3 linked regions of the Lepisosteus oculatus genome follow. The protein of the gene in region 1 interacts with the protein of each later gene in a pairwise test. Links are inferred from orthologs where the notes say so. Each region holds a gene or a part of one and is shown in the gene's direction. Other genes may lie near its edges.

The links.
Region 2: the proteins of srebf2 (region 1) and sp1 interact in binary tests that used the Homo sapiens proteins (3 or more experiments, as listed by UniProt). The link is inferred for Lepisosteus oculatus from reciprocal best matches to the Homo sapiens genes SREBF2 and SP1.
Region 3: the proteins of srebf2 (region 1) and nfyc interact in binary tests that used the Homo sapiens proteins (3 or more experiments, as listed by UniProt). The link is inferred for Lepisosteus oculatus from reciprocal best matches to the Homo sapiens genes SREBF2 and NFYC.

The regions. Positions count from the first base shown.
Region 1 is NC_090707.1:38,960,375-38,970,536, forward strand, and holds the start of srebf2 (sterol regulatory element-binding protein 2), read left to right. Parts: upstream 1-6,112; 5' UTR 6,113-6,333; coding exon 6,334-6,421; intron 6,422-8,986; coding exon 8,987-9,559; intron 9,560-10,162. Other genes in the region: uncharacterized protein, read left to right, coding at 459-480, 2,604-4,360.
Region 2 is NC_090696.1:17,808,541-17,817,966, reverse strand, and holds the start of sp1 (transcription factor Sp1), read left to right. Parts: upstream 1-5,289; 5' UTR 5,290-5,471; coding exon 5,472-5,478; intron 5,479-6,188; coding exon 6,189-6,286; intron 6,287-6,722; coding exon 6,723-8,205; intron 8,206-9,426. UniProt on the Homo sapiens protein: Transcription factor that can activate or repress transcription in response to physiological and pathological stimuli.
Region 3 is NC_090706.1:719,074-729,227, reverse strand, and holds the start of nfyc (nuclear transcription factor Y subunit gamma), read left to right. Parts: upstream 1-5,985; coding exon 5,986-6,004; intron 6,005-6,918; exon of another isoform or gene 6,919-7,025; intron 7,026-10,154. UniProt on the Homo sapiens protein: Component of the sequence-specific heterotrimeric transcription factor (NF-Y) which specifically recognizes a 5'-CCAAT-3' box motif found in the promoters of its target genes.

The DNA.
Region 1 (10,162 bases):
AATAACATTCTCGGCGATTTTATACTACGGATTTTGTCGTTGCCTCCCCACAATCCAATTGCGTTACTTCTTAGTTTCAAAGCGGACGTGTTTTGATTTAGGAACAGGATAAACGCTGATTCCGGGGCTGAAAAGAGGAGAAAGGAAACACAACGTTTCGGCTTCTTCGGGTGTGTCGGCACCAAATAAACCTCCACCTGTTCCTTTGCCGACGCAGCTGCCTACTTGAACTTCTTCAACGATATTTAACACATACAAGAGCAACATGTCTGCCGGGGGAGGGGGGTCGTGCAATACAGCGAGTGACCACACGGCGGCGCCAAAGCGCTGTACGCCTGGTAGCGGCGGACCGCTGTCTGCGGGGCTGTTGCAGACGGGCTCTGCGGCCGGGGCTCGGAAACACGGCGGAGATCCCCGTTACGGTCTCAGTGAAGCAGCAGAGAGCCGCCGGGGAGGTCATGACGAGCCCTGACGGTTCAGGTGAGAACATCCTTCTGCGGCCGCAGCGAAACCCAGTCAGTCCCGCACGGCGGCTCGCTTTTCAGCACAGAGTGTGTCGCAAGGAAGTACGCGACCTCGGAACACGATTTTACGTGCCTCACCACTAATAAATCTGCGAAACTGTCAAATCGCTCGCCACCGCAGGCAGCGGGGCCGAGGTCGGATTTACACGCCAAGCGGCACAGACGGGTGTCCACACGGTGAGCGCAGTGCATGACGCGAGAGGGCGTGATGTCAGCCCTCGCTGGGGAAAAAAACACCACCTTAAAAACAGCAACAAAAAAGTTATGGTTTCAGGTTTTCAACCCGAGCCGGCGCTGGGGTCCTGTATAAAGGGGTTTGTTCCTGCTCTTAGTTTGGGGGGGAGGCGAAGTTTATAAATAAATACTCTAACAGTGACCTCAGCCCCCCCGTCAGCTGGCCGCGGACCCTCGGAAGACCACCATCCGAGAGGCGTCCCCGAATGTGACCGATAACACAGGACAGCACTCATATACTGTAACTGCGCGAAGACAGCGGTGATGAAGTACCGTTTCCGTCACTTTTGTGGGCATGTCCGGCTGTCGGGCAGTCCGTGGAGGCCACTAAGGTCTCTAACTCCGGAGTCTGAGCGACGTTTCGCTTTTGCTTTTGAACGCGACCTCGGGTCACTAAGCAAGGTCGCAGGACCGGCTGTGTCCCGGCTGCAGTTTCCGCCCCCGCGTCGCTCTACGACTCGGCGTCTCCCCTGCGCGTCAGTTCTCCCAAATTCATCTTCAGCCGGTCCACCTGTGTCCCTGCCCCCCAACACCGGACAACAGCGTTTGCTCAGTAACCGAGAACAGGGCAGCAGCTCTGTAAACCAGGGCTGTCCAGTCTCTCTCCTGGGGGGTCAGTGTGTCTGTGGGCTGTCCAGTCTCTCTACACCAGGGCTGTCCAGTCCTGCTTCTGGGGGGTCAGTGTGTCTGTGGGCTGTCCAGTCTCTCTACACCAGGGCTGTCCAGTCCTGCTCCTGGAGGGTCAGTGTGTCTGTGGGCTGTCCAGTCTCTCTCCTGGGGGGTCAGTGTGTCTGTGGGCTGTCCAGTCTCTCTCCTGGAGGGTCAGTGTGTCTGTGGGCTGTCCAGTCTCTCTCCTGGGGGGTCAGTGTGTCTGTGGGCTGTCCAGTCTCTCTACACCAGGGCTGTCCAGTCTCTCTCCTGGGGGGTCAGTGTGTCTGGGGGCTGTCCAGTCTCTCTACACCAGGGCTGTCCAGTCCTGCTCCTGTGGGGTCAGTGTGTCTGGGGGCTGTCCAGTCTCTCTACACCAGGGCTGTCCAGTCTCTCTCCTGGGGGGTCAGTGTGTCTGTGGGCTGTCCAGTCCTGCTCCTGGGGGGTCAGTGTGTCTGTGGGCTGTCCAGTCTCTCTCCTGGGGGGTCAGTGTGTCTGTGGGCTGTCCAGTCTCTCTACACCAGGGCTGTCCAGTCTCTCTCCTGTGGGGTCAGTGTGTCTGTGTCTGTCCAGTCTCTCTCCTGGAGGGTCAGTGTGTCTGTGGGCTGTCCAGTCTCTCTCCTGTGGGGTCAGTGTGTCTGTGTCTGTCCAGTCTCTCTCCTGGAGGGTCAGTGTGTCTGTGGGCTGTCCAGTCTCTCTCCTGGAGGGTCAGTGTGTCTGTGGGCTGTCCAGTCTCTCTACACCAGGGCTGTCCAGTCCTGCTTCTGGGGGGTCAGTGTGTCTGTGGGCTGTCCAGTCTCTCTACACCAGGGCCGTCCAGTCCTGCTCCTGGGGGGTCAGTGTGTCTGTGGGCTGTCCAGTCCTGCTCCTGGGGGGTCAGTGTGTCTGTGGGCTGTCCAGTCCTGCTCCTGGAGGGTCAGTGTGTCCAGAAGCAGGACTGGCCTCGAGCTGCCTGCACCACTGGAAGGTTGCGGGTGCGACTGGATAGATCTGTCCTGTAGAGGCTACCCCAGGAGGGACTGTGCTCCCACATCTCCGGCTTCCTTCCCAGCCGGGCAGCGTGTGCGGTCAGCGGCGCTCGGACAATATTCCGGGCCTGCCTTTTTGGGGGGATGGCGTGGCGTCGCTGGGGTGACCGGGGAGACAGGAAATCGCTGCGGCCTGAGCCTCACTGCGCGTCTTCCTCCCGTCTTCCAGCCAGGAGGGAGGAGGAGGAGGAGGAGGAGGAAGAGGAAGATCCCGCGGAGCTGCGCCTGGTCCTGCTGGGCAAGACGGGGTCAGGGAAGAGCGCCTCCGGGAACACCATCCTGGGCCGGCGGGCGTTCCGCTCGGAGGCCAGCGCCCGCTCGGTGACGCAGGCGTGCGCCCGGAGCCGGGGGCGGCGGGTGGCGGTGGTGGACACGCCCGGCCTGTGCGACCCCGGCCGGCCCGCGGAGGAGGTGCGGGCCGAGCTGGCCCGCTGCGTGGCGCTGTCGGCGCCGGGGCCGCACGCCTTCCTGCTGGCGGTGCCGGTGGGCCGCTTCGCGGAGGAGGAGGCGCGGGCGGCGCGTCTGGTCGCGGGGCTGTTCGGCGCGCGGGCGGCCGCGCACACACTGCTGCTGTTCACCCGGGGGGACGACCTGGAGGGGCGCGGCGTCGAGGAGTACCTCCGCGAGACGGCCCCCCCGCCCCTGCGGGCGCTGCTGGCCTGGTGCGGCGGCCGCCACCACGTCCTCGACAACAGGGCCCCCGGCGACCGGCGGCAGGTGCAGGGGCTGCTGGGAAAGGTGGAGGCCCTGGTGCGGGAGAACGGGGGCCGCTACTACAGCAGCCGCCTGTTCGAGGAGGCGGAGGCCGCCATCCGGGCGGAGCAGGACAGGATGCTCCGGGAGGGGGGGCGGGAGCCCGCCAGGAAGAGGAAGTGGGGGCGGGGGGCGGGGCCAGAGCCGGGGGGAGGCGGGGCGTTGGGCCGGGCCCCCAGGAGGAGGTTCCGGAGGGACGCGGAGCTGTCGGAGCTGGTTCTGGAGAGGATCCGGGCCCTGGTGGCGGCCGGGGCCGCGGGGGCGGTGGTGGGGGCGCTGTGCGGGGCCGCGGTGCCCCTGGCGGCGGCGGCGGGGGCCGCGGTGATGGGGAACGCCGCCGCCTTCGCGGCCGGGCAGGTGTGCGGGGTCCCGGCGGCCACCGCGGCAGGGAAGGCGGTGGGCGCCCTGGTGGCGGCGGCGGCCGGGAAGACGGCGGTGGCCGCGGGCGCCGCCACGGGGGTGGTGCTGGGGGGCTCAGTGGGGGCCCTGGCGGGGGCTGAGGCGCCGGGGCCTGCGCGGGCGGCAGTGCAGGCAGCAGGGGCGGTGGCGGAGCTGGGGGCAGCCGCAGTGGGCGTGGCGGCCGGGGTCGGGGGCGTGATGGGCGCTGGGGCTGCGCTGGCGGCTGCCAGTGCCGCTGGGGGGGCGCCAGCGCTGGCGGCAGCAGGAGTGGAGCCGGGGGGCGGGGCAGCGGGGCTACCATCAGGGGGTGTGGCCGCCACAGAGGCCACGGGGGCAGTGATGGCAGAAGGGGGAGGGGCAGCGGGGCTGGGGGCGGGGCTACCATCAGGGGGTGTGACCGCCGCACAGGCCACAGGGGCAGTGATGGCAGAAGGGGGAGGGGCAGCGGGGCTGGGGGCGGGGCTACCATCAGGGGGTGTGACCGCCGCACAGGCCACAGGGGCAACGATGGCGGCAGGGGGCGTCCAGGGCGAGACGGGCGCAGCCGGGATGGGGGCCCTGCAGACCGCAGGGGTGGCGGCGAAGATGCTGACCGCCGTGGCGGAGCTGGGCAAGGCGGCGGCGGGCATCGCGCTGGCTGGGGGGCTGACGTTCAGGCTGGTGAAGGAGAGAGTGAGGCCGGGCTCGCAGGCGTCCGACGGCCCCTACACGGAGAGGCAGTCCCTGGAGTTCCACCTGGACAGGAGCGGCCGGCCCGGGCGCGAGGATCAGTGAGAGGGCCGGAGGGTACGAAGCACCTGTCTCTCCACAACACCTCGGCTCCTGCCCCCTCTGCAAGCGCCGGGACTCCGCCTGGTTCCAGTTCGGGCTGATGAAGATCTGCGTCTACAGATTGGGCTTGAACTACAGACACCTGCCCCCTTTCCTCAGCTGTCGTTACAATAGAGCAGCTGCCCTTCAGCCAGCAGCCTGTCCGAGTGCTTTGCTCAGTAGATCTCTTTTTATTTGACTTTTACAAGCTAGTACTACCTTGCAGTGCCTGAACCAGCCTGCTCAGAGATGGCGGTGATTTATAAAAAATCGACACTGTGCCTTAAATTAAAACTTGCATGTTTTGTATCTGGCATTTTAAAGCGTTGGCAGACTTGCAAATAAAAGTATTTCTGGAGCATTCGTGGTGTCTTTCGTGGGCCAAGACTCAATCAGCAGGCCACTGCCCGTTGTCTGTGTTCTCCAGTCTTGAAACAGGACTGTAATACACGCACCAGAGGGGCCCAACAGCCCATCCAGCCTGTGTCCTAGACTGGTAAATGTAAGCTTTTAATTCATCCAGGTGGGGCTGCACATTGGTGGTGGTGGAGGGGATCCCCATTACCTGTAAAGCGCTTTGAGTGGAGTGTCCAGAAAAGCGCTATATAAGTGTAAGCAATTATTATTATTATCATCATCATCATCATCATCATCCCAGGATCTTATCCAGCTGCTTGATCCCCTTTGAAAGAAGCCTGGATATCAGCCTCAGTGCCGTGGCTGGTCAGCTTGTTCCATACTCCCACCCCCCTCTATGTAAAGAAGTGCCTCCCCTTCTCAGTTTTAAATGTGCTTCCAAACTTGCAATCATCTCTGGATCATGTTTCGCTGTTTACGTATGAGCGCTTTTCAGGAAAGTCAAAGAGCTGGACTCCCATGGGTACCGTTCGGCACAGAAACACGACACGCTGCATGTACAGGTGCAGCCAACACTGGGATATTCAAAGTGTCCTGTCTTTTCAATATACTGGTCTAATCCTCTGTCCTCCTTCAGGCTCCTGCGCAGATGTCTTACACACGATCAGAAGTCATACACATGTGCAGTATGTTTCTTAAGACAGCAGCAGCAATTCATTCAAATCTTGCACGGGTGTTGTCTGCGCTAGTGAAGACTGACACAGTGATTAGTACCGCTTAGTTCGGGCGAGAAGACACCAGACCAGTCAGTTCGGCATCTGTAATTCATGCACATCCGAGTCTGGAAACACCAAACTCACATCGGCTCCCGACACGGCTGAACGCCGGTCGTAGGAGCTGCTGACCCGTTGCATTTACCAGTTCAACGAGCTGAAAGAAAACAAGGACTTTTTTTATTTTAAGGTTTAAATGTAGACTAACAGGGCCAGATCATTAAAAGATCCCTGGAGACGGGAAACTATTGACTGGCGGAATGAATTACATAACACAAATAAATAAAAAACCCCGTGGTTAGCCGAATGACAGAACTTAAATATTAAATGTCATTCATGAACAACCGCGGAGGAGTTCCCTCATGCAGAAGGCAGAGCGAGCCGCCCGGAAGCCGCTCATGGAGAATCGGCGCTCGGGCCGCGCCCACCGCCCCGGGGGAGGCGGGGCCAATGCAAAGCAGCCGAAAGCGTCTGATCGCTGACGTACTATCAGACCACGGCGGCCGGAGCCCGCCGATTGGCTGGGGGGGCCTGGTCTCATGACAACAACAGCCGGGGATCCACCAATCGGAATCCCCGCTGGCGGCCTTCCACTGTTTGTAAATGACGTCACCGCGGCAGCCAAGATGGCCACCTAGGGGTTTGTGGATGGTGCTCAGCCCTCTGACAGCTCTCGCGTCCCGGCCGAAGGCGCTCTTGTAGCCCGCCTTGTTCTGTTCGAAAGCGGATCGCACGCTTTGACACCCGCCGGGGACGGTAGACCTAGCCGATCGTGGGGGGGTGTCCCAGCCCCGTCCTGCCCAGACGATGGAGGGAGAGTTCTTGCCGGCGGTCGACAGTATGGACCCGACTCTCTCCGAACTCGGGGATGACTTCTCCCTGGGCTACATCGACGGTGAGTCGGTCTCGCCGAGCCGCCGACCTCCGCAGGAAGACAGAGCCCCGTGTCCGTCCGTCCGTCCGTCCGTCCGTGTGTGCGTAACCTTAACCCGGTACCGGTCCGGTCTGCCACGGATCTGAGCCCCGATGGGTACCGGGCAGTACAGTCCGAGACCGTCTCACCTGAGCGGAGCCCTCTCTCCTGGGCTTGCTTCCAGTTGTGATGAAACACGAATTGTTCTCTCTAGTGAGTGGCTTGGATTATTGCTAATGATCTGGTAGCGCCGGGATGCTCTAATGTGGTGTAGGTGTTATTTTTAGGCGAGTATTTAAGGAGCTGTTTAAAGACCGCTTCCCTGCCTCATTCTGCATCCCGTGTGTGTGTGTGTGTGTGTGTGTAAAGTGTGAAGTTTGTCTTTCGGTGTTGAGCTGTTTGTGTCGTGTGTGTTGTAAGCGTGGAGTTTGTCGAGTCTGTCTGAATTGCTATCCAATGTGAAATTTGTGTTGCGTGTAGGTGTGTGAATCGCGTTTGTTTCGAGTGTGTTTGTAATCATGGAGTTTGTGTTGTGTCTGTGTGAACTGCTGTTTAATATGGAGTTTGAATTGAATGTGAGTGTAGGTGGGGGTTGTGTGTGTGTGAGTGTGGAGTGTATGTTGTGTGAGAACACAGCAGTGCTGTGCTCAGTGATGGGGTGAGCAGTGTGCAGTGTTCAGGCCCAGTGTGTGTGTGTTGTGTGTGAACACAGGGAGATTGCTGTGACTCGAGAGCAGTGCTGTGCTCAGTGATGGGGTGAGCAGTGTGCAGTGTTCAGGCCCAGTGTGTGAGTGTTGTGTGTGAACACAGGGAGATTGCTGTGACTCGAGAGCAGTGCTGTGCTCAGTGATGGGGTGAGCAGTGTGCAGTGTTCAGGCCCAGTGTGTGAGTGTTGTGTGTGAACACAGGGAGATTGCTGTGACTCGAGAGCAGTGCTGTGCTCAGTGATGGGGTGAGCAGTGTGCAGTGTTCAGGCCCAGTGTGTGTGTGTGTGTGTTGTGTGTGAACACAGGGAGATTGCTGTGACTCGAGAGCAGTGCTGTGCTCAGTGATGGGGTGAGCAGTGTGCAGTGTTCAGGCCCAGTGTGTGAGTGTTGTGTGTGAACACAGGGAGATTGCTGTGACTCGAGAGCAGTGCTGTGCTCAGTGATGGGGTGAGCAGTGAGCAGTGTCCAGGCCCAGCGCCTGCTCATCAGCGTGTGTCCTGCCGGAGACAGTCGGGGCGCCGTGCTGGGCTGCACTCAGATGTTTCTGTGAACACGTAGCTGCATTCCAGCCGTGCAGCGAACAGGCTGGGCAGCGTCATCAGCGCTTGTCCACTCTCGGACGTCCGCATCAGTGAGCGGACATCGCCCGGGATTGAACCGGTCTGCTGCACGGATCCCATCGGTCCCACCTGTGTGTCTGTGTCTTTCTCTCTCCGCGCACTGCGCCGCCTTGCTGGGTGTCAGTGAAGCCGCTTCCTGGAGGTCATATTAAATCCACAGACATGAAATGCAAAACTGAACTGCATTGCAAACCTGCACAGCCACATCCAGCTGAAGGACCCCTGGGCTCATGATGACCAGTACGAAGCCTCGCGGGAGGGAGAGCAGACCCAGCCCTCCTCTCTGCGAGGTCACTCAGCTGTCAGTGGCCCGCGGAGGTGGCGGGTTTGACAATCACACCTACGTCTGCCTGGGGGTAAAACCCGGACTGGCCTCCCGGATGGGCGCCAGGATTCGGGTACTGTGACGTGGGCTCCTGGGGGAGAGGAGGGGGTGGAGGCTGGCCCTGACCGTGCAGCGCTGTTTGAATCTGTGCCAGTGAGGCCTGTTGCAGCCCGGGCTGTGTTGACCTGCTGGGGACCCTGCTGTCCCAGTGTTGCCTCAGAACCTGCTGATGCTTCTTGTCCGTCTCTGATATCAGCCCCCGTGTTCTGATCTGAAGCTCTTGGCTGTCTGTGGCCTGTACCTGTCACACATTTGAGCCGTTTCATCGCCTGAAGCTCATTTCAGGTTGTTCAGGTCTCGCACAAACCCTAAGAACTGTCAGCCTGCAGGGTGAGCTGTGACCTCTGACCCTGTGCTGTAGGGTGTCGGTGAAGGTTGCTGTGAGCTGTGACCTCTGATCCTTTGCTGTTGGGTGTCTGTGAGAATTGCTGTGACCCCTGATCCTTTGCTGTTGGGTGTCTGTGAGAATTGCTGTGATCTCTGACCCTGTACTGTAGGGTGTCTGTGAAGAGCTCAGTGAGCTGTGACCTCTGACCCTGTGCTGTAGGGTGATTGTGAGAATTGCTGTGACCTCTGACCCTGTGCTGTAGGGTGTCTGTGAAGAGCTCAGTGAGCTGTGACCTCTGACCCTGTGCTCAGTTCTGCAGGACAGACGACCTGCTGGGGTGCCGCAGCTCCATGCGATACGCGACAGGGTGGCCTGTTTCAGGCCTCCTCCGAGCAGCGAGCAGATGACCAAGTCGGTTCTTGACGCGGAGCTGTGGGGCTCCAGACACGTCGTGACGCACTGACCCGCCGCCCTCCTCACCTCTCTGTGTCCCCTCTCTCTCCGCAGAGATGCTCCAGTTCGTGAGTAACCAGGTGGGCGATTTCTCTGACCTGTTCGAGGACCAGCTGGGCGGCAGCCTGCAGACTGGGGGTTCGGGGGTTCCTTACCAGCAGCAGCAGCCCCCACCACAGCAGCAGCCCCCCGGCACCAACCCCACCCCCCAGCCCAGCCCGGTCTATCAGGGCGGGCCGGCGGTGCCCCTGTCCCAGCTGCCCCCCTCCCTGCACCAGTCCCTCCCTCTCACGCCTCCCCAGACCCCCGTGCAGGCTGTCCAGCAGGGCTCCCCGCCTCTGACTGTGGCCCCGGCCCCGGCCCCGGCCCCGCTCCGCAGCGCCCCCTTGCTGCAGCCCAGGCCGCAGCAGGTGCAGGCGCCGCCGCCGCCCATCGCGGTGTCGGTCCAGACCCAGACCCTGACCGTGCAGACCCAGTCGGTCCCCATCTACACCCAGGGGCTCCCCGTGCAGACGCAGGCTCCCACCCAGACCGTGATGTTCACCCCCACTCTGACCAGCTCGTCCCAGTCGCGGATCGTCCAGCACCCCGTCATCTACCACCAGAGCCCCATGAGTGGATTCCAAGGTGAGGACTCGGCTCGGCTCGGCTCGGCTCGGCCTCGCGTGCCCTCCTTGCTCCTGGGGCGCCCCCTGCTGGCGGTGTCGCTGTCCTTCGCTCGGTGCGCTGGGCACAGGCATCGTCCTCTTCAGGCAGACAAGTCCAGTGTGAACGAAACAGCGCTGTGGGGGTCCCGATGCCCCAGTATACTGTCCTTCAGATGAGACGTCAAACCGAGGTCCTGACTCTCTGTGGTCATTCACAATCCCAGGGCGTTCCTCGACAAGAGTAGGGGTGTAACCCCGGTGTCCTGGCCAAATCTCCCCCTGGCCTTTACCAGTCATGGCCTCCTAATAACCCCCCTCTCTGAACTGGCTCCATCCCTCTGCTCTCCTCCCCACTGAGAGCTGGTGTGTGGGGAGAGGACTGGAGCATCATGCAGGTGGGGGTACACACTGGTGAGGGTGGAGGGGATCCCCAGTACTTGTCCAGCTCTGTGAGTGGCGTGTGCAGGAGAGCGCTGTAGAAGTGTGAGGATATTACTACGGATTGAGCGCAGGTGTAGAGGAGAGCCCAGCGCAGTTTGTGTCCGCTGCCCTGCAGCGAGTGCCCTGCCTCACTAACCTCCCC
Region 2 (9,426 bases), on another chromosome or scaffold:
CTCATGGAGAGCAAGCTGGGGTCTGTGAAAAAAGACAAATTCCTAAAACAAGAAATTGTATGTGGCCAATAAAGTGATTTTATCTTATCTCTAGTAATATTGTCAGTAGCAGTGTAAGTATTTGTAGCCCTGGCAGTAGTAGTAGTAAATCAGACGAGGTCAGTTAAACTAGTGAATAGTCATTCATTAGCCTCATGTTTTACTTAGACGAATCCTGAATTGTTCCTACGCCGTGACGCGCGGTTCGGCACGGGTCGCCACGCGCACTGGCGCGCTTTCTCTCCGCAGTCCCGACGCTGGTAACTGTGCTTTTACCACAGTTTGTGGCGTAATGCACCAAAGAGATCTCTACCCAGCTCGTACGGATCTAGCAGCAGACTAATGGTTGACGCAAGTCTCCACTGGTGCCATCATTCTGATACACTGACACCAGATTTCACGTTTTAAGATCTTTGAGCTGATGGGTTCTGGCCGGAGGGCCCTGCTAGACTGCGGCGCGAGGTTTGGTTGAAAAATAATGAAACTCCAGGATTCCCGATACGTCTGTGTGTAAGCATAGACTTTAATAACTACTAATGAGTCTGGCTTTGTTTTTAATCTACTTTTATAACATAAAGGGAAATATTACCCAGGATGACTTCACTGTTATGCGAGGCGGCGAGCTCTGGTCTGTTATGTGACCGTTTCTTCCATCCCCGGTTAATAAAAACAGCATGGGGAGGAATGTTTTGATTAAGGAGCCTAAGCACATAACTGCACTCGGCTTATTAAAGTGGAATTTATCTCTGGGCATCCTCGCATCGTGATGTTTTTTTCCTCAACATCATGTTGTATTAACGGGGTCGCCTCATCCCGTCTCGGTTTGCGCTGAAGGAAAAATGATCCGGCATTTCAACCGCAGGCTCACTGAGAGAGCGGCGCGATGGATGAGCGGTACAGCGGCGCGTGCAGCTTTACCCCCGGCTTGGAGCGACTCCCGGCCCTGCAGCGCTCGCGCTGGCCCGGGAATTTCCCAAGGTGCAACTTGGCGTTTCGGCTGTTGTTGTTCGCCTTTTTTTTAAAGAAAAGGCTGTATAGATCCTCCTTTATGACTTTTGTAAGTACATTTCTTATTGCACGGGGGGGGAACAATATATAAGAACAGGAAACAATTTCACATTTTTAACCGAGATATAAACGGAGAGAGGGGGTCTAACCTAACGCATCTCCCGAAATTAAAAGGTTATGTCCAATAGATCTTCTTAATTATAATTTTTGGTTCTATTAATTTATTTGTATAATAGTTATATCACAATTTGTGGCGTTTTACAGAATCGTAGGATAGTTGTTTGTTCATCTGCATTTGCAGACTGCTAGTATGAGTGATTAGCTCAAACAACACGATATCCACCGTTCGATTATTACTACTGAGTTATCGCCAGCAGCCATATCACCCTGCAATTCTCAACTGGCAGCTTACTGAAGCTCAGCAGATGTGAGCCTGGTCAGTACCTAGAGGGGAAGACCTCCTGAGAAAAAACAAGGCTGTTGCTTAAAGAGGTGTTAGTTGGACCAGCAGGGGGCGCTCACCTGTGTGGGTCCTAATGCCCCAGTATAGTGATGGGGAGACTATACTGTAAAATAATAATAATAATTGCTTACACTTATATAGCGCTTTTCCGGACACTCCACTCAAAGCGCTTTACGAGTAATGGGGATCCCCTCCACCACCACCAATGTGAAGCATCCAAATAGGCGCCGTCTTTCTGATGAGACGTAAAACCAAGATCCCGACTCTCCGTGGGGACTCTCCAGGGGCGTTTCTTGAAAACAGTAAGGGTGTTTCCCTGGCATCCTGGCCAAATTTCCCATTGGCCTTTACCAATCATGGCCTCCTAATAGCGCTTTAAGAAGACACCTTTAAAGGCACTATATAAAATAAAGTTTATTATTATATATATAATAATCCCCATCTCTGAACTGGCTTCATTACTCTGCTCTCCTCCCCACTGATAGCCGATGTGTGGGGAGCGTTCTGGCGCACTATGGCTGCCGTCGCATCATCCAGGTGGGGCTGCACATTGGTGGTGGTGGAGGGGAGTCCCCACTACATGTAAAGTGCTTTCTGTTGAAAAAAAGAGCTAGATAAGCGTAAGGATTAGTATGATTTAGAATTTTCGTTGTCTTCTAAGCACAACGTAACTCGAGTACCAACTGGAGCTCCTGGAGGTGTAATACCAACATATGTCCAGACGGTGACAGCAGACGCTAGTCTTAAAAGAAAGTTTACAGACCGTCGTTTCCACGTCTCTTCTTGTTGAACTCTAAAAAAATAATGGTTTTGTCGTGCACATTTTGGAAATCGAATCGAAAGCCTCGTCGTCAGCATTATCACAGAGCCATAACATGTTTGACAACATGGAAAATCAAGAATAACGGTAGTTCTCACTCCATATCTTAATGAAAGACGGGGGGGCTACATCCGATAAGATTCACAGCGCGTTCTTGTTTAGTTTATAACAGGCGGCTTGTCGGCGAGCGAAGTGTTTATAACCATTATCAATCGGCCAGGAATAAAGCACTGATGTCCTAACTAGCTAACTTTAAACCTTCAGAAATTCTGTTCTGACCCTGAAGAGAACAGGACTGGACATTTGGGAATATACCAATGCAATAGGTTATCTCCAATTTTGTTGGGAGACCACTAAGGCTATCTTTCAATATTTTTTCTAGTGTCTTCTACGCAGGTCTCACGTGTGTTGTTCCCGATTTCTTAGTTTTAATGAATTCTTCTCTCTGCATGCTTCAGTTTGATCGGACAGTACCAATTATTACGTTTAAATCAGCCTTTACCACGTTAAGCCATAGCTAGGTTGAATGCAGAACAGGTCTTCAGCATTTTTACACAATCGACTCGCCCTTAGACGCCAATTAACAGGGCGCTTGGAATTCAAACCTCCGCTTGATGGGATTTAGATCAATCAGTAACTTAAGTTTGAACCGCTTTGATCACATTGGGGGAAAAATACTTTCTTATCATTTTAATTTGTTGCCTTTCTCGCCTCCTTTCAACTGTTAACAGGCCAGAAACGTGGCGTTCACACAGTTTGTCGGAGTTAAGATTTGAATTCCTTGGAAAAAATACCATTACACAACTTGGCGACCACAGTACTCAACAGACCGAAACCACGCTCAGAGGCGTGGGGGGAGGGGGTTATTTAACTGCAAATCCTTCAGTGAGGAGAAATAGCCCATCGCCCTCTGGTTTAGAGAACAATGGCTACAGAATAATCGTTTCAAACACAACTGGAATAAAAAACAAACAGCCCATAAGACACATGCGGATAAAAGCCCGATAACCGTGGCTCCGCTGGCGAAGAGCTCTGAGAGGAGGCTGTGTCGGTAAACCCCCCGCTCGTCAACTCCACCCCACGGAAAGCCCGCTGTTTACATGTTGGAAAGCATGTGCTTCTGGGTACACCCTCCAGCACCCCACCCCCTCTCCTGCCCTCGCAGGCTCAGGCGCTGCCCCTCCCCCACGGCCGCCTACCGCTCTCCCAGCCCTCCAGCGCCGCACAGGGAGGGGCCCGCAGGAGCGCGAGGTCTCTGCCTCTCATTCATAATCCGCCCGCCCAGGAAAGAGAACCCCGCACGAGTATCGGAGACTCGGCTGTCACAGCGCTTAACATCTCTCTGACCACGATGTCACCGAGCTGTGATACACTAGCTGGACCGTGCTCGCGTTTCGCACGCACTCCTGAAGGTGTGTGTCTGCGTAGGAGCCGCACAAGACAAAACGGTCTTTGGACATTTGCGGGCCAGATCACGTCGTTGCGTTTGGCACCCGTCAGGTAGCACACGAGCCTGAAAAGTGGGTGTCTTTTTCCGCAGTGTCCTCACTGCAAGAGTTAAGGCATTATCTGGTTACTTCATGCTTCATGCTTAATGCATAACCCATGCTCAAGAAGGGTTACAAGAGAGAGGAGGCCATTCAGAACATCTAGAACGTTTGTTAGTAATTCATGGATCTTTTCTTCTAAAAGGTCAGGGTATCGTTTGTGTGGCTTGTTCCACACCCCCACCCCCCTTTTGTGTAAAGAAGCCCCAGATCTAAATGCTCTCGCAGGTAGCTCTCTCGGTGTCGGCTGAGGAAGCTCACCGAGTTGCCTTGGGCAGGTCTACATGGACACGGACCTACCACGTATGTTTTTAAACACGGGAGTTCCCAGCAGATAAAACAGCAGCCAGTGTGAGCTGACCGTGACCCTGGTTACAGGGCTGCCTCTCCGTTCTGCAGGTGTATGTGCGAGGGTGGAGGGGGCAACAGCGCAGTTCACAATGAGAGGAGCCGGGGTGCTGCTGGATTGTGCTGGTTTCACTGGGATCGTAGACGGGACTCCCGCTGGATCAGTACAGAGCTTTACCCCTCGGCAGTGTCCGGGGCAGGGAGGGGCAGACAGGACAATTAAACCCCAGCCTGCCTACCCCTGGTGGACTTTCACTCAGCGAGCGAGTGGTGAAACTCCTAAATGGCCAGTCTGCACTTTCAGAGGAGTGCCCAAAGGCAGGCGAGTTGCTCTGTGAAACACGAAACATCAGCCTCCTTTCTTACGTTCGTATTACACAAAGGGCAGCGGGAGAGTGGAACAAACTCAGAACAAGAACCTTGGCTTTTTTTTTTTAGAAAACAGCTGGGTTAGATGATGAACTTAATTAACTGGACTAGAAAGCCTGTCCTTTTAAAATATAGATTTGAACCGGTTGTTTTGGTTTTCCTCGAGGCTGGGCTCCCAGGTACTTAATTGAACTGAAAATGGCTGGGACAACATGCATGTATCTAAAAACCCACAGTGGTGCGTTTTGTTATTGCATAAAAAAGCTTTCTGATACTGTATTTTAAAAAAAATAACAGTATTTAAAACAGTTATAGACCATTTTCGCTTTTTAAAGAATGTAATAATATAGTAATGCAATATCATTTGTGACTGATTTCCAAAAAATCTCCAAACGCTAGAAAAGGGAAGAAAAGGATGACATCCGCTTCATAAATACTAGAACCACAGCAAGCACGGTTTGCTAATGGCGCCTTTTCCGCCAAAAAGAAAATCCTCCCTCCTGTACAGACTTTGAGCCGTTCCGTAAACGGTACAACCTACCCAACTTGACCCCACCCAAATACCCGCCCCCAAGCTCCATTTCCATTGGATGTTACTGGCAACTCAGCGGACATTCAGAGTGATGATTGGATACAATTCCGCTTCCATCTCGCTACACATTCCAAACCCACGACCAACGACACAACCAGACTGAACTCGTAAAGACATCCTCCAGACAAATCCGATTGGCTGTCGTAGTAGCAGGGCGCTCTCTGATTGGCGAAGAGGGCTTTCGCTCTTCCCTCGGTGCTGTGGCGCCGCGGGGTTTGGTTGCACCGTCTCTAAGTTGATGTCAGCCCCTCAAGAACCCCAAGAAACTCCTCCCGTCAGAACATAATGAGTGGTAAGAAACTTTTTTTCGTTGTTTTAAAGACGAAAATTAAAGAAAGAAAGAAAACGAAATATAAAAGCTCCGCAACTTTAGAAAATAATGAATAAAACCATAAAGTCGTATTCTAACAAAAACCCGCTGAAGTAGAAAGAGGTCTGGGTTTCGTGAGGACTGTTCTTTTTTAAAGTTTTTTTTAGCCTCAAGATTAAACAAGCTGGGTTTTCCGTCGTTCCACTTTCACTGAGGACTGGGGTGACCCTAAAAGTTCGATGTTTAATTGGATCAGGCTGAAGAGGAGTTTAAACGGGGGGGTAGCTCGTCGAAACGGACACTTAAGAACAGCCGTTCATCGTTACTACTTTCCTTTCGACAAATAACAACAAAGAGCAGATTTAGCACGAATAAAAAAAACAATATGATCTCAGATAACACTCGGAATATCTCCCCCACATTGCTTTTAATCTCTGGCCGTGGATCACTGCGTTTACTGGCGTAAAACAAAACGCTAAAACATGTGAGGAAAAAGAAACCCAGGTACACCCGGATCAATTCTCGATTTTTTTTTGGTTGGAGCGATACTTTTTTTTTTTCCGTGGTCGTTTTGGCACGGTTGCGGATTCGACATAGGAAACCCGATTTCTTTTTCTTTTCAATTAATATTCCGCCGTTGGCTGCCTAGTATTACCCCCTTCCGCGCTGTGTTTTTCCTCCCTCTCCCTCAGATCAGGAACAGCCGCGAGACGAGATGGCTGCCCTGGCCGAGAGCGGCGGCGCCGCTTTCCTTCAGAGCCTCGCGAAGAGGAGCGCGAGCTCGGGGCAGGTGAGCGGCGGCTCCTCGCCGGTCTCCGCGTTCGCGTCGGGCCCGCGAGGGGCGAGAGCGCGAGGGAAGAGCTGTGTTGTTGTGCTCTGGGGAGGGAGAGGACCGCGGCCGGTCTGCGGCGGCGGCTCCGGCGTTGTTGCTTGACCCGGGGAGGCTGGTGGTGTGTTTGCGTGTGTGGCGGCGATGGGGGGCCGGGTTTGTTGTCGCTCTCGCCCTGCGCACATGCTTGTTTTGAAAAGCGGGGCGTGCGGAGCCGGGGTGTTCCCGTCGCAGGCTCCGCTCTCTCAGAGCGGTCCGCACAGCCCACTGGAGGCTTGGCGCTGGAGGGGGAACGGACAGGGGGGGGAGCGAGCGCGGGTGGGTGGAGAGGTGGGTACGCGTGGGCCGCCCTTTTCGCCGGCCGTGGTAACCCCACCCACCCCGGTGTCTGTTGCAGGACTCCCAGCAGACCTCCCCGCTCGCTCTGCTGGCGGCGACGTGCAGCCGGATGGAGTCTCCCGGCGAGGGCGAGCAGGCGGGCTCGGAGCCGCCGCCGCAGCAGCAGCAGCAGCAGCAACAGCACCAGCAGCAGCTGGACCTGAACTCGGCCCAGATCGCCCACACGGCCAACGGCTGGCAGCTCATCCCCGTCAGCGTGCCCAGCTCCGTGGGCGCCACCACTCTCAGCCAGGCCGGGGGGCTGGGGGGGGACGCGGGCAAGGGCAGGCCGGCGGTGGCCACTAGTGCCGGGGGCGGCCAGCAGCAGCAGCAGCAGCAGTTCGTGGTGGCCTCTGCGCCCACCCTGCAGGGCCAGCAGGTCCTGACCACCCTGTCTGGGGTGATGCCCAACATCCAGTACCAGGTCATCCCCCAGTTCCAGACCGTGGACGGGCAGCAGCTGCAGTTCGCCACGGCGACGGGTGCCTCTGCCCAGGTGAGCATGCAGCAGGACTCCGCCGGGCAGTTCCAGCTGGTCTCGTCCCCCGGCGGCGGCCAGCAGATCATCCGGGCGGCGGGGGGCGCGGGCGCGGGCGGGGGCAACCTCATCGCCATGCCCAACCTGCTCCAGCAGGCCATCCCCCTGCAGAACCTGGGCCTGGGCAGCAACCTCCTGCAGAACCAGGGCTCCTTCCTGGCCAACGTGCCCCTGTCTCTCAACGGCAACATCACCCTGCTGCCGGTCAGCGCCGGCGGCCAGGCCGCGGCCGGCGGGGCGGGGGACGCGGGTTCGGGCGCCTCCCTGCAGCAGCAGCAGCAGCAGGTCCAGCAGGCCGTGTCCAGCGCGGCGGGGGTGTACTTCTCCAGCGCTGGCTCGGTCGTCACCTCCGCGCCGTCGGTCAGCAGCGCCAGCGGCTTCGCGGCTGGCGGCACCACGATGACCACGGTCCAGGCCCAGCAGCGCAACGGGGGGCTCGTCTCGGGGTACCAGAGCTCGGGGGGCGCCGTGCAGCTGCAGGGCAGCCCGCAGGATAACAGGGACTCCCAGCAGCAGCAGCAGCAGCAACAACAACAACAACAACAGCAACAGCAGCAGCAGCAGCAACAGATCATCATCCAGCCCCAGCAGCTCCTGCAGGGCACCCCCACCCTCCAGACCCTCCACACGGGCGCCGTCCCGACCGGCCAGGTCTTCGCCACGCAGGACGGCCTGCAGAACCTGCAGTTCCAGACCCTCCCCAACACCAGCCCCATCCTGCTGCGGACCGTGGGCCCCAACGGGCAGGTCAGCTGGCAGACGCTGCAGCTGCAGAGCCCCGCCGGCGCCCAGACCATCACCCTGGCGCCCGTGCAGTCCCTGCCCCAGCTGGCGCAGAGCCCCGCCGGCGCCGTGACGGTCAACGCCGCCCAGCTGTCCGGCCTGCAGACCATCAACCTCAACACCCTGAGCAGCGCCGGCCTGCAGATGCACCAGCTGCCCATCGCCATCGCCAACCCCGCAGGTGAGTGAGCTTTCTGCTCCAGCTGCGCAGCCCGTCACGCAAATACACAGCCGTATCCCAATTCCAGTTTGTCTATGCAAATTTCTTTAAGGTAAAATCACCTGGTTTGGGACATCCAGTCCCTGCGACAGGCTCATAAGATGCAGCCTGCAGGTTTGGAAAAGCCTGGGGTGTCTTAACGTGCTTTGCTGTTGAGTTTTGTTTTTTATACACCTGTGAATTAGAAGCTCAGCAGGAGGACGAGTTCCTTTGATCCAAAAAGGAGGAGGTGAAATGTGTGTTTGCAGGTGTTGCTCGCGTTTAAAGAGCCCTTAGGAGCCACGTGGACCAAACAGCCTTATCCTGATACGTGTACCGTGTAGATCAGACTGGAGAAGATGAAGGTCCTTTTCCTGGAAGGGAATAGAGGGATTGGTCCGCACAGTGGTTAGCTTTGCTACCCAGCAGCGCTGAGGCCCCGGGTTCAGATCCAGACCTGGGGTGCTGTTTGCAGCTCGTTTTTCCATGTGTTTCCTGTCACAGTCCACAGACATGCTGGTAGGGCAGTTGGCTTCTGGGAAGGTTGGCCCTGGTGTGGCTGGTCCCAAACACGTTCGGACAGGCAGAGGTAGACCGTGCACCGCAAGAGCCCAGCGGATACCGGATCGTGGTTCCGTTGGCACGGTTTGAGTTTATCTGGAGTGCCAGCACATCCACACCTGCCGTATCCAAGGGGAAATTGTGGAAGAGGAAAGGCCGCACAAAAATGTATATTTTAGTGCTTCATGAGTGAGAAAGCAAGTTAAGTGCTTGGGAGGGGAAGTGACTGGTTTAAATTTTCTTCCAAAGGTGATTTTTTTGTGTTTTCATTTGTTATGTGATGTTTGGATGCTGTGACCTTTCAGAAACCTTTCAGTTTCATCCTGGCCGGCCCTAGAGTGCTGATAATAAGAGCCTTGTAAGTTCCCCATAAATGTCTCGCTTTTACAGCAGCAACATTTGAGAGCGCAGCTCGGTGGCGCAGTGGTTAGTATTGATGCTTCGCAGTGCTGGAGCTCAGGGTTCAATTCTACACCTGGGGCACATCTGTGTGGGGTGTGTGTGTGTGTATTCTCCTTAATTTGGAGCACCTGGAGAGAACCCCGAAGTGTCCCCCCGTAGTCCAAAGACAGACTGGGAGGTTCATTAGCTTCTGGGAAAAGTGGCTCAGATGGGTGTGAGTTTGTGTTTGTGTCTGCCCTG
Region 3 (10,154 bases), on another chromosome or scaffold:
GTGGCCTTCAACCAATTTTTTCAAGGCCTGGGAATAAAAATCAAATCAAAGCCGGTACTGGGTGAAGGGAGAGGTCAGGATCTCAGGGCGATGTCTGCAGGAACTGAGCAAGAATGAAAGCTGAATGAGGTGGAAATCTAACAGAAACAGAGATAATGAGCTCTGAAATCAGGCATGGAGTAAGGGAGAGGTGTGTGTGTGTTAGTGTAGGGGAGGGGTGTGTGTGTGTTAGTGTAGGGGAGGGGTGTGTGTGTTAGTGTAGGGGAGGGGTGTGTGTGTGTTAGTGTAGGGGAGAGGAGTGTGTGTTAGTGTAGGGGAGAGAGGTGTGTGTGTGTGTTAGTGTAGGGGAGGGGTGTGTGTGTATTAGTGTAGGGGAGAGGGGTGTGTGTTAGTGTAAGGGAGAGGGGTGTGTGTTAGTGTAGAGGAGAGGTTTGTGTGTTAGTGTAGGGGAGGGGTGTGTGTTAGTGTAGGAGAGAGGGTTGTGTGTGTGTTAGTGTAGGGGAGGGGTTTGTGTGTTAGTTAAGAGGAGAGGTGTGTGTGTGTTAGTGTAGAGGAGAGGGGTGTGTGTGTTAGTGTAGGGGAGGGGTGTGTGTGTTAGTTAAGAGGAGAGGTGTGTGTGTGTGTTAGTGTAGAGGAGAGGTGTGTGTGTGTGTTAGTGTAGGGGAGGGGTGTGTGTGTGTGTTAGTGTAGAGGAGAGGTGTGTGTGTGTGTTAGTGTACGGGAAGGGTGTGTGTGTGTGTTAGTGTAGAGGAGAGAGGTGTGTGTGTGTTAGGGTAGGGGAGGGGTGTGTGTGTGTTAGTGTAGGGGAGGGGTGTGTGTGTTAGTGTAGGGGAGGGGTGTGTGTGTGTGTTAGTGTAGGGGAGAGGGGTGTGTGTGTGTTAGTGTAGGGGAGGGGTGTGTGTGTTAGTGTAGGGGAGGGGTGTGTGTGTGTTAGTGTAGGGGAGAGGGGTGTGTGTGTGTTAGTGTAGGGGAGGGGTGTGTGTGTGTGTTAGTGTAGGGGAGAGGGGTGTGTGTGTGTTAGTGTAGGGGAGGGGTGTGTGTGTGTTAGTGTAGGGGAGAGGGGTGTGTGTGTTTTAGTGTAGGGGAGGGGTGTGTGTGTTAGTGTAGGGGAGAGGGGTGTGTGTGTGTTAGTGTAGGGGAGGGGTGTGTGTGTGTTAGTGTAGGAGAGAGGGTTGTGTGTGTGTTAGGGTAGGGGAGGGGTGTGTTTGTGTTAGGGTCTGCAGACAGACCTCTCTCTCCTCTCTCCCCTCTCTGAGGAAGACAGTGTAACTGCTTCTCAGTCTCCTCATCACACTGGGCAGCAGACAAAGGAGGAAACGGACTTCAAAATGAACTGTAGGACAATTTCAAACCAAACTGGGCAGAATTGTAAAGGAATCTCCTGAGCCCTTAGAGCACAGCGCCAGAGAGAGCAGAGTCACACGCCCGGGGTGGGGTGGACTGCCGTCCTTTTCAAAGGACCAGTACAGTTCAGCACAGAACCATTTCTTCTGAGCTGATCTGCTCTGTGGAATAAAGACATGAGGCTTTCTTGACTCACTGAAACGCTGGTCAGAGGAAAGCAGACACCTGATTGCAAAACAGTCGTATTGTCGTATTTTATAACCGGGGGAGGTTGTGGTATTTATTTGCAAGAGCGTTAATTTTATTTATTTGCTTGCGCGCTCATCTTTGCTGTGGTGTAATGAATGCATCGGGAGGTGCGCATTCCCAGTACAGCCATTTCCCCGCCCGCAGGAGTGAATTTCTGGGAGCAACAGTTGCTCCGCCATTAGACAGCAGGTTGAATTAACGACCCGATCGTGCAGCTCAGCCCCCAGCGCTCGCGGGGGCACCTGGGCTCCCGAGATCCCGGCACGCGGGAGGGGAGACGGAGCAAGACGGAGCCGGCAATACCAATGAGGAGCTCGAGCCAGACCCGGCACCCGGGACCCCGAGAGGGATCTCGCGTTCGAAACAGCCCCAGGGGGCACAGCGCCCCGCTACGCGCAGCCCGTCCGGAGAGCCCCGGTTTAGAGACCTTCACCAGTGAAAGAAGCAGTGCGGACCCTTGTCCTTTTAAGACGCTCTTTAATCTTTACAAAATCCAGTCCTAGCATCTCCACCGGTAGCATCGCCATCCCCGTTTCTCTTACTGGTAGAAACCCGGTGCCCGTGAGCCCAGACACTTACCGAACCGCCGCGCTGGGCACGCAGTGAGGCGCAGGAGCGCTTAGACTGGAGTGCGCCCGGACTGCTCCGCTGGAAATGCCATCGTCTTGCGTCCGTCTCTCCCCCGGCTCGGTCCTGCTCTGCTGCGTCTCCTCCGCCTGCCTCCACGCTGACAGTGTGTGACGGGGAGCGCGAGAGAGCGCCTCCACGAGCGGGCGGGACCGACCGACTGCTGAGGAGGAGGAGGAGGAGGCAGGGCGCGCGCGGCCGGCGCGAGGCAGCGCCTTTCCCTGCTCACTCGTCTCCATGGTTACCTGCCTGACCCATATAACCCAGCGGAGCGCCGGTACCGGGTGGGACGGGCGCCGGCGCCTTCATGTGCAGTAACGCGCTAGCGGCCGGTCCGGCGGGGTCCGAGCCCTCTGGCCCCGGCTGTCCTGTCCCTCACCCGCTCCCCGCCCTGTCGCCCCCACGATGGAAATGTCCCCCTGCTCTGCGCTGCGTGTCGGAACCCGTCTGCGTGTGTCTGAGCGCAGCGATGTGCTGCACCGGAGCCGAGACCGGGGTCGGGGCTCCTCCCGGCTGCACACCCGGGGCACAGCTGCGGGCGGTCCGAGCGCCAGAGCGGCCGGGTCTGTCCGTCCCCCTTGCGCCGCAGAAAGCACTTTATCGGGGGAATCACATCACACATTCAGGCTGAAGGATCTCGTCCCAGTGGGTTAGCTGACGAGCTTTTTTTTTCATAAGGAGCGCATGTTGTGTGTATGTTGGTGCCACCGTCACCTGAGAGGTGTGTGTCCCCGACCAGGGCAAGGTTTTCCAGGACCAGCGCCTGGGGGCTCTGGGAGAGAGAGCTCCTGAGCGCAGTGGTGTTCAGGACTGAACCCGCAGACACAGTCTCCTGACCGCTGGTGCTGCAGCTGCAGCAGAGACGCGCCCAGGCTCCGGAGAGTCCTGGAGTCTGCTGCTGTTCGGTGGTGTATCTCTGCCCCTGGAGGGCTGGCCTGTCTGTAGGTTCTCCCACCTCTTAATGACCTGTGTCAATAATGAATGACTCTCGGCTGAGGTGGACCAGTGTTCCAGCTGCTCCCATCTCATGGGCCTCTGGAGGTTTCAAGAGACCCAGGAGACACTCGGTACCCCCCAGAACCCCAGAAGACACATAGGGTACCCCAGGAACCCCGGGAGACACACCCCACCAAGAACCGCGAGAGATCCCCCCCCTTCCAGGAACCCCAGGAGACACTCGGTGCCCCAGGAACCCCAGGGATGGCTGCAGTGCGGGCATCTCTGCCAATCAGATACTCTGGTGCCTTCCAGTGTTCCTCTTTCACGGGGAAGATGAGGGCTTCGCCTCGTCAGCACACATTCCTGTGTAATAACTGCACAGAAATGTAATAGATGCAATTGTGACCCCAGGAACGCAGCAGTCCTGTCGAACCAGGAAGACGGAGCCGTCTTTGTGACAAGATGCTAAAGTGACTCAGAAGAGCCGCAGGTACGCCCTCGTCTTGACCCCTGTAGCGATTTACAGGCTCCTCGCTGCTTTATGATCTATAAATAATCTCTTCAGCGCACAGCAGCTCCTGTAAAAATGTGCCAAAGCGCTGAATCTGAGGACCAGTGCAGACTCCAGAGAGTGCTCCGAGCGAGACGCCTGGGGCTCCCTCACCGTACCCCACAGTCTTGATTGCAAGACAGACGTTGTTCTGTTTCAGTCTTCAGGGAGTCTCACTCTGTCCCCCAGCTGGAAGGAGGAGCTAGCTGAAGAACTGGGCTCTGTCACTAGAGCCTCCGGACCCTGTGGGTCCCCTGTCCGAGCGCCCCAGGGCCTGACAGAGGAGGGGCGCGCCTCTCTCGGATGCCGTCCACCATAGCCTAGGGACTCGGGGCCACGGTTGTCCAAAGACTGGGGTGGGGTCCCAGTACCCCGCGGTCCAGTGCGTTCACCCGCCGTGGCACGGAGAGAGGTGGCAGAGGGTCCTGGGACTGCTGGGGTCTGCAGGGCAGGTGATGGGAGCGGACAGGAAGAGGAGGCTGGTCTGGGGTTCAGGGGGAAGGAGACGGAGACGCCCCGCTCGTTAGGAGAGACACGCGAGCCCAGAGTGTAAGAAACCAGCAGCGAGCGAGCGCTCCCTCCAGACTCACACGGCCCAAAGCTTGCACCCTCCGCGACCTCCGGCCTCCCAGTGTTGTGTGTGTGAATGTGTACGTATGTGTTGTGTGTCTTGTGTGTATGTTGTGTGTGTGTTGTGTATGTGTGTGTTGTGTGTGTTGTCTGTGTGTTGTGTGTACATGTGTGTGTTGTTACACCTGGCTCGGGCCATCGGGGGTTCAGCAAGGTGGCAGCAAAACTCAACCCCACTCCTGCCAGTCTCGTTAAACACCGGCCCTCCTTAGTGGAGGTTTCAGAAAGTGCTGGCAGGCTTTTCATTCGGAAGCAAAGAGGGAGAGGAGAGGAGAGCAGAAGAGGATGAGGATGACACGCCTGCATGTTTGAAAGTCTTGAGATCCTTTGATCAGGGCACCACTCAAGCACAAGACAGGGTCCATCTGATGCACTTCTGTTCCTGGAGTGAGTTTTTTTTCCAAGCCTGCTGAATTTCTTAATCATTTTCATTTGATTTTTTTGTTTTTCAAGGATGTTGATGACAACCAGGGGATCTATAAATAGCGGTCAGCCAGAGAGCGAGGGCGACGGCTCGCTAATTAGTTCCAGAACCCATTCATATAGCAGAGTGACAGTCTGGTGAAGTCCATTCTGAGGAGGGGGCCTGGGGCCTGGCTGAGCGAGCAGAGCTCTTCAGACCCACCCCTGCGGAGAGGAGAAGCACAGGCTGTACAGACACCCACATGGGGACACGTACACACACACGTACACACAAATACACACACGTACACACACGTACACACACACGTACACACAAATACACACACGTATACACACAGGTATACACACACGTACACACACACGTACACACACATATACACACAAATACACACACGTACACACACATATACACACAAATACACACACAGGTACACACACAGGTACACACACAGGTATACACACACGTACACACACAAATACACACAAATACACACACGTATACACACGTACACACACAGGTATACACATGTACACACACAAATACACACACTTACACACACACAGGTATACACACACATAAACACACGTACACACACAGGTATACACACACATACACTCACGTACACACACGCACACTCGGAGACGGTGTTTGTGTGCCTGCACTGACACCGACACGCGTGCTCGGAGACGGTGCGTCTTAATGAACTGAGCCGCCATGGCTGGGATGACATTTCTGCAGCGCAGCACCAGGCACAAACTGAGCAGACAGGCATCGGTGCAGCCTCAGCAGGCCACCGTGCAGGGCCTGATGTACACGCTCATTCAGAAGGGTGGTGTTTGACTCACGAGTCAAAGAAGGACAATGGGTAAAATGAACTTAGATAAGATAAGATCACTTTATTGGCCATGTACAATTTCTTGTATGAGGAATCTGTCTTTTCTCATACCCCAGCTTGCTCTCCATGAGACACACAGACAGGGAGAGAAGCTGGGGGTCAGAGTGCAGGGTCAGCCAATGGAGTAGGATTCCTCTGCTGGCTGCGGGATACAAACTGGCAACCTTCCAGCAGCAGGTGCAGTGGAGGGCCACTGGACGCTTAATGACCTGATTGGGATCAGTTGCTCCCTTAATAGGTTAATGACCATTGTTTCCAGCTCTGCATCCAGTGAGGATTATAAATTACCAGTGAAACCTAATATACTGCAGGCCTTCAGGACCAGAAATGAATTTTGCTGCTTTAGGTATTTTTATACTGTTCTGTTTTTGAGATACAGTAGGTGGTCATTCAAAATGTAAAAACACAATTGCGTGTGTCTTTCTACTGAGATTGTAGGTATTTTGCTTTAAGCTGCAGGTGATCCTGCTAGATGTGTGTGTTGTAGCCCAAGAAGAGCTCTTTCAGCCTGCTGGCTGTGCAGAGGGGAACGGGTGATGTTCCTGACGAGGAGCCCCTGACAACGAGTCAATTAGACCTGACTGGGAGCTGTGCTGGATCAGCAGCTACAGCACTTCACACCAGCTGCTCCAGCGCAGTTTACCTCCAGTCGCTGATTGTGATCGATGTGAATTAAAGAAGCTATTTGACAAGGGAAGATGACTTTTCACTCAAACTATCTCTTCAATGAGGTTGGGTTTCTACACAATTGACAGGCAGCAACAATAGGCTGAACCAGGTTAACTGTTTTGTGTCTCACCTGAAGGAGATTGAATAATATATTTGAGGCTGCCCGTATCCTGCGGTGATAGTGCTTTGGTTTACATGTTCTCAGTGTCTGTCCTACTACACCGGACAGGATCGTTTTGTTTTAGCGTTGCAGCGCCGCCTAGTGTTGAATATCGAGCAAAACATTTCAAATCTCCTAATTTCGAGTGGTACGATAGTACTGGAAAATGATGAAATTGCTAGCTTTTTAAGAAGGCATATTAAAACGACATATCAATCTCACAATTTGAATAAGTTGCTATCTTTTTTGTGAAATAGAATTCTGTTTTTACGTACAAAACGTTAGGGTAACAGCAATGGCGGCGTTTATCCTGTTGTGCCGTAACCCATCATGGCGGCTGCCTTCAGGCTTTCTCTCACGTGACGGCTATTCGCAGGTCTGATTGGTTAACTCCAACGGGGTCGTGCCCAGCTTCCGCTCGAGGGGAGAAGTCGTCAGAGCGCTCGCTGCGCGGCCATCTTGTTTCCCATCGCCGTTAAAATAAAATAAATAATAGGCAGAGCTGGACTTCAGCGCGAAATTCTGAAAAAAGCAGCCGGTGAGTAGGACAGTGGCACTGATTATGGTTGTTTTCGAGAAAGATGAATGGGTTTCTGGGGTTGTGGGATTTATTGCGGGGGTTATTTGAAGCGCCGAGACACTCTCCGCTGTTGTTGATTGTTTCTCAGATGAACAGAGGCGCCATTTCCCTCCGCGCTCTCTGAGGCGCTTATTGGTGGCAACGCTTTACGGAGCGGATAGGCATTGGTGAAACTGCGTCACTGTGCCCGCCATTTTGGCTCCGGGGTGCGCTTCTCTGGCACGGAGTGGCCTTTTCCATGGCGGAGCCGGAATGACGTCCGTTTCACAGGCGCCTCAACCCTAGAAACCTTGATTGGTGGAATCGGGTCCGAGGTTTGATTGGTCTGAGGGACATATCCAAACTTAATCTTTATTGGTTAGAGCCGCTTTCCACAGGTTTTGCGAGCGTTTTTAGGGAAAGTCGCCTTTGGTAGCCGACCGGCGCGTTTTTTGCGCGGCTCTGGTGCCGGGGGTCCCTCGTCGCTTGTCCCTTTCCCCCGCCGGGGCGTCCTCGCCTGCCGCGGGCAAAGAGCTTCACAAAACCCACACGCCCGGTGCAGGTTCGGGAAGTCTGAGACGGGCCGGGACGCGCAGGCCCGGCTGAGCTGGCGATCGAGTCGGCCGTGACCCCGTCCAGCCGAGCCGGGCGCTTTTCTGCCGCTCAGCGGTGTCGGGCGATGGGTGACCAGATCTGTAGAAATTGATTCCTGCCGCCTGTCCTCCCCTGCGCCTGGAGGATGCAGATCTTCCCCGCCGCCCGTTTCCCCGGACAGTGACGTAGCGCCCGGTCCCGGCGTGTGGTCATCTCTGTCCGGCGCGTCCCACCCGGGCGCTCCTGGTGCGGCCTGGCGCCGGCACACCTCGGGGTGCTGCTGACAGATGGAGACTGCCTCAGCGTGGGGCTCGTCTCCCACAATCCACAAAGCATGAGCCTGGTCCGGCCGGCTCCCCCGCAGGCATGAGCCGTGCTGCTCCTGTCGCTCCCCCGGCCCTGTGCTGGCTGGGAACACGCAGCACAAGGCCTTTCCTCCGAGACGGAGAGGATCGGCACAGGCGGCAGAGCACAGTGTTTCTGCGGCGTCTGAAAACGCACCGAGAGGGCATTCTGTCCAAACGTGGGCCGTCCAGTGCCACAGCTGTGCAGGCAGCGATGATGTGTTAGAATACAGTGTGATCCACAGGAGGAAGCGTCAGGCTGATTGTGATTTTCTCGCCAGTGTGCTCGCAGCCTGGGGTCTTTGGCGGGCTGATATGTGGAGTTGTGTGGAGTCTGCCTGTCCGACCCTGTGTGGTTTCTGCTGCTGGCTTGTTTCTGGTCTTCGCTGGGGTGCAGCCTGGCGGGCGCCCCACTTCTCTCCCTCCTGCTGCTGCTGTGCTCGAGCTCCACTTTCCCTGCTCTTCCCCCGACGGGCTTGAGGTGGGAGCCAGGAAAAGTGAACCTGTTTTTTAAAGAAAAACATCTGCGGTGCCGCCCTCCTTTGTCAGCCTTATAAAGAGAAAAGAGCGAAAAAAGTTAATTGTGGTTTTCTTGCCCGTGGGTACCAGTTGGGAAGCCATCTGTTTCTGCTCACTGTAGCAAGGGGTCAGGCGAGGGCTCTGCTGTCGCCACTGTTTTGGCGCAGCGAAGAGAGACTCTGTCTGCAGCAGAAGGAGCCGTCACGCACTTTCTGCAGGGTCTGCGTCTCAAAGACGGGCCCCTGTGGGTGTTTCCGCCCTCCTCGTGGGGTGCGGCGCTGTGAGTTCGCCGCGGGAGACCAGACACGAGACCGGGCAGAGCTGGGCTGCAGGGGCACACGTGCTCGCGCGCGGCGTCGGCCGAGGTCAGCTCGTGGCGTCCTCGGCTTGCCACGCGGGTGCAGCCATGGGGAGCGAGAGCCGTGTCGCGCCCTGTCGGTGGCTGGCCGGCCGGCCCTCTGGGCACCCATGAGCTCGGGCAAGGGTACGCCGAGGTCCAGTGTCCACCATCCTCTTGGCCCTCCTGCTGCCCGCTGAGCTGAACCGAGGCTGGTACAGGAGAGACAACGGCATTGGCGAGTGCATTTCGCTCCACAATGAAAGTTCAATTTCCACAGTTGTGATGTGAACTGGAGGTTTTAAACACACAGCAGGTGACATTTCCAGGCACGCGCAGCACCATGTTCTGCGATTCAGGAGGAGGCAATGAAGTGTCCCGTGACGTGATGCGGCCTTATGAAATTGTAAAGAAGCAGGCCTTAGACCAAACGTATTGCTCTTGACTTCAAAACCGTTTGGATAACAAATAATCCTTTTATTAACTCTGCATGCAGATGACGTTGGAACATTTCTGCAGTGGAATGTCTGCTGCATGAGCTGTACGTATTTGCTCGTATATTGTGTTACATTAGTCATATTCGTCATTACAGCAGCCAGCGTCTCGGTTCTCACAAACTCTCCTCTTGCCCTGACAGGACCTACAGTCCTTTTGCCAAGTTCACAATTTTGTGCTTAATTCTGAGTTTGTAAAATTTTGTGATACCATCAATTAATTTATTTTGTTACGGAGATTTAATAACCGGCCTGAGAAATTGAGACTGCAGCTCCTCTTTAACTGTGTTTGTGCTGCCTTATTAATGCGAGTGCTGTGGGGTAGCAGGTCACTCGACCTCTGTGTGATCTCTGCACGATAGCAGAGGGGTAGAGTTGTAAAGTTTTATAAGCAGGCTGGTTATCTTAGTCTGCCACTCTTGAAGGTTTGTAAAGTTTTATGGACTGTAATGCTTTTTGTTAGGGCAGAAAGGAGACCAGAGCTTGCAGTGATTTATTGTGTTTCTGTTATATGTGTGTTTGGTGGAGCTGACGTTCCTGTATCGCTCTGCAGAAGGTATTTCAGGCTCAGGTCAGGTCATGTGATTGCGTAAGTGCCTGCGCAGGAGCCGCTCCTCGCTGTACTCCCAGAGCTCGCTGGTCAAGGCACGGCCTCCTCTCGATGAGGCCACAGGGTCCTAAGAGGACCCGCGTTAAGCTTCCTGCACTGTCAGAGCGCTTGGGCTCCGTTTATCGGCAGTTTGGGTATGGGATGTCTTAATGTCCCAGTGAAACGCAGGCCACGTGTGATACACGTTTGCGTTGTGCATTTAAGTCAAGG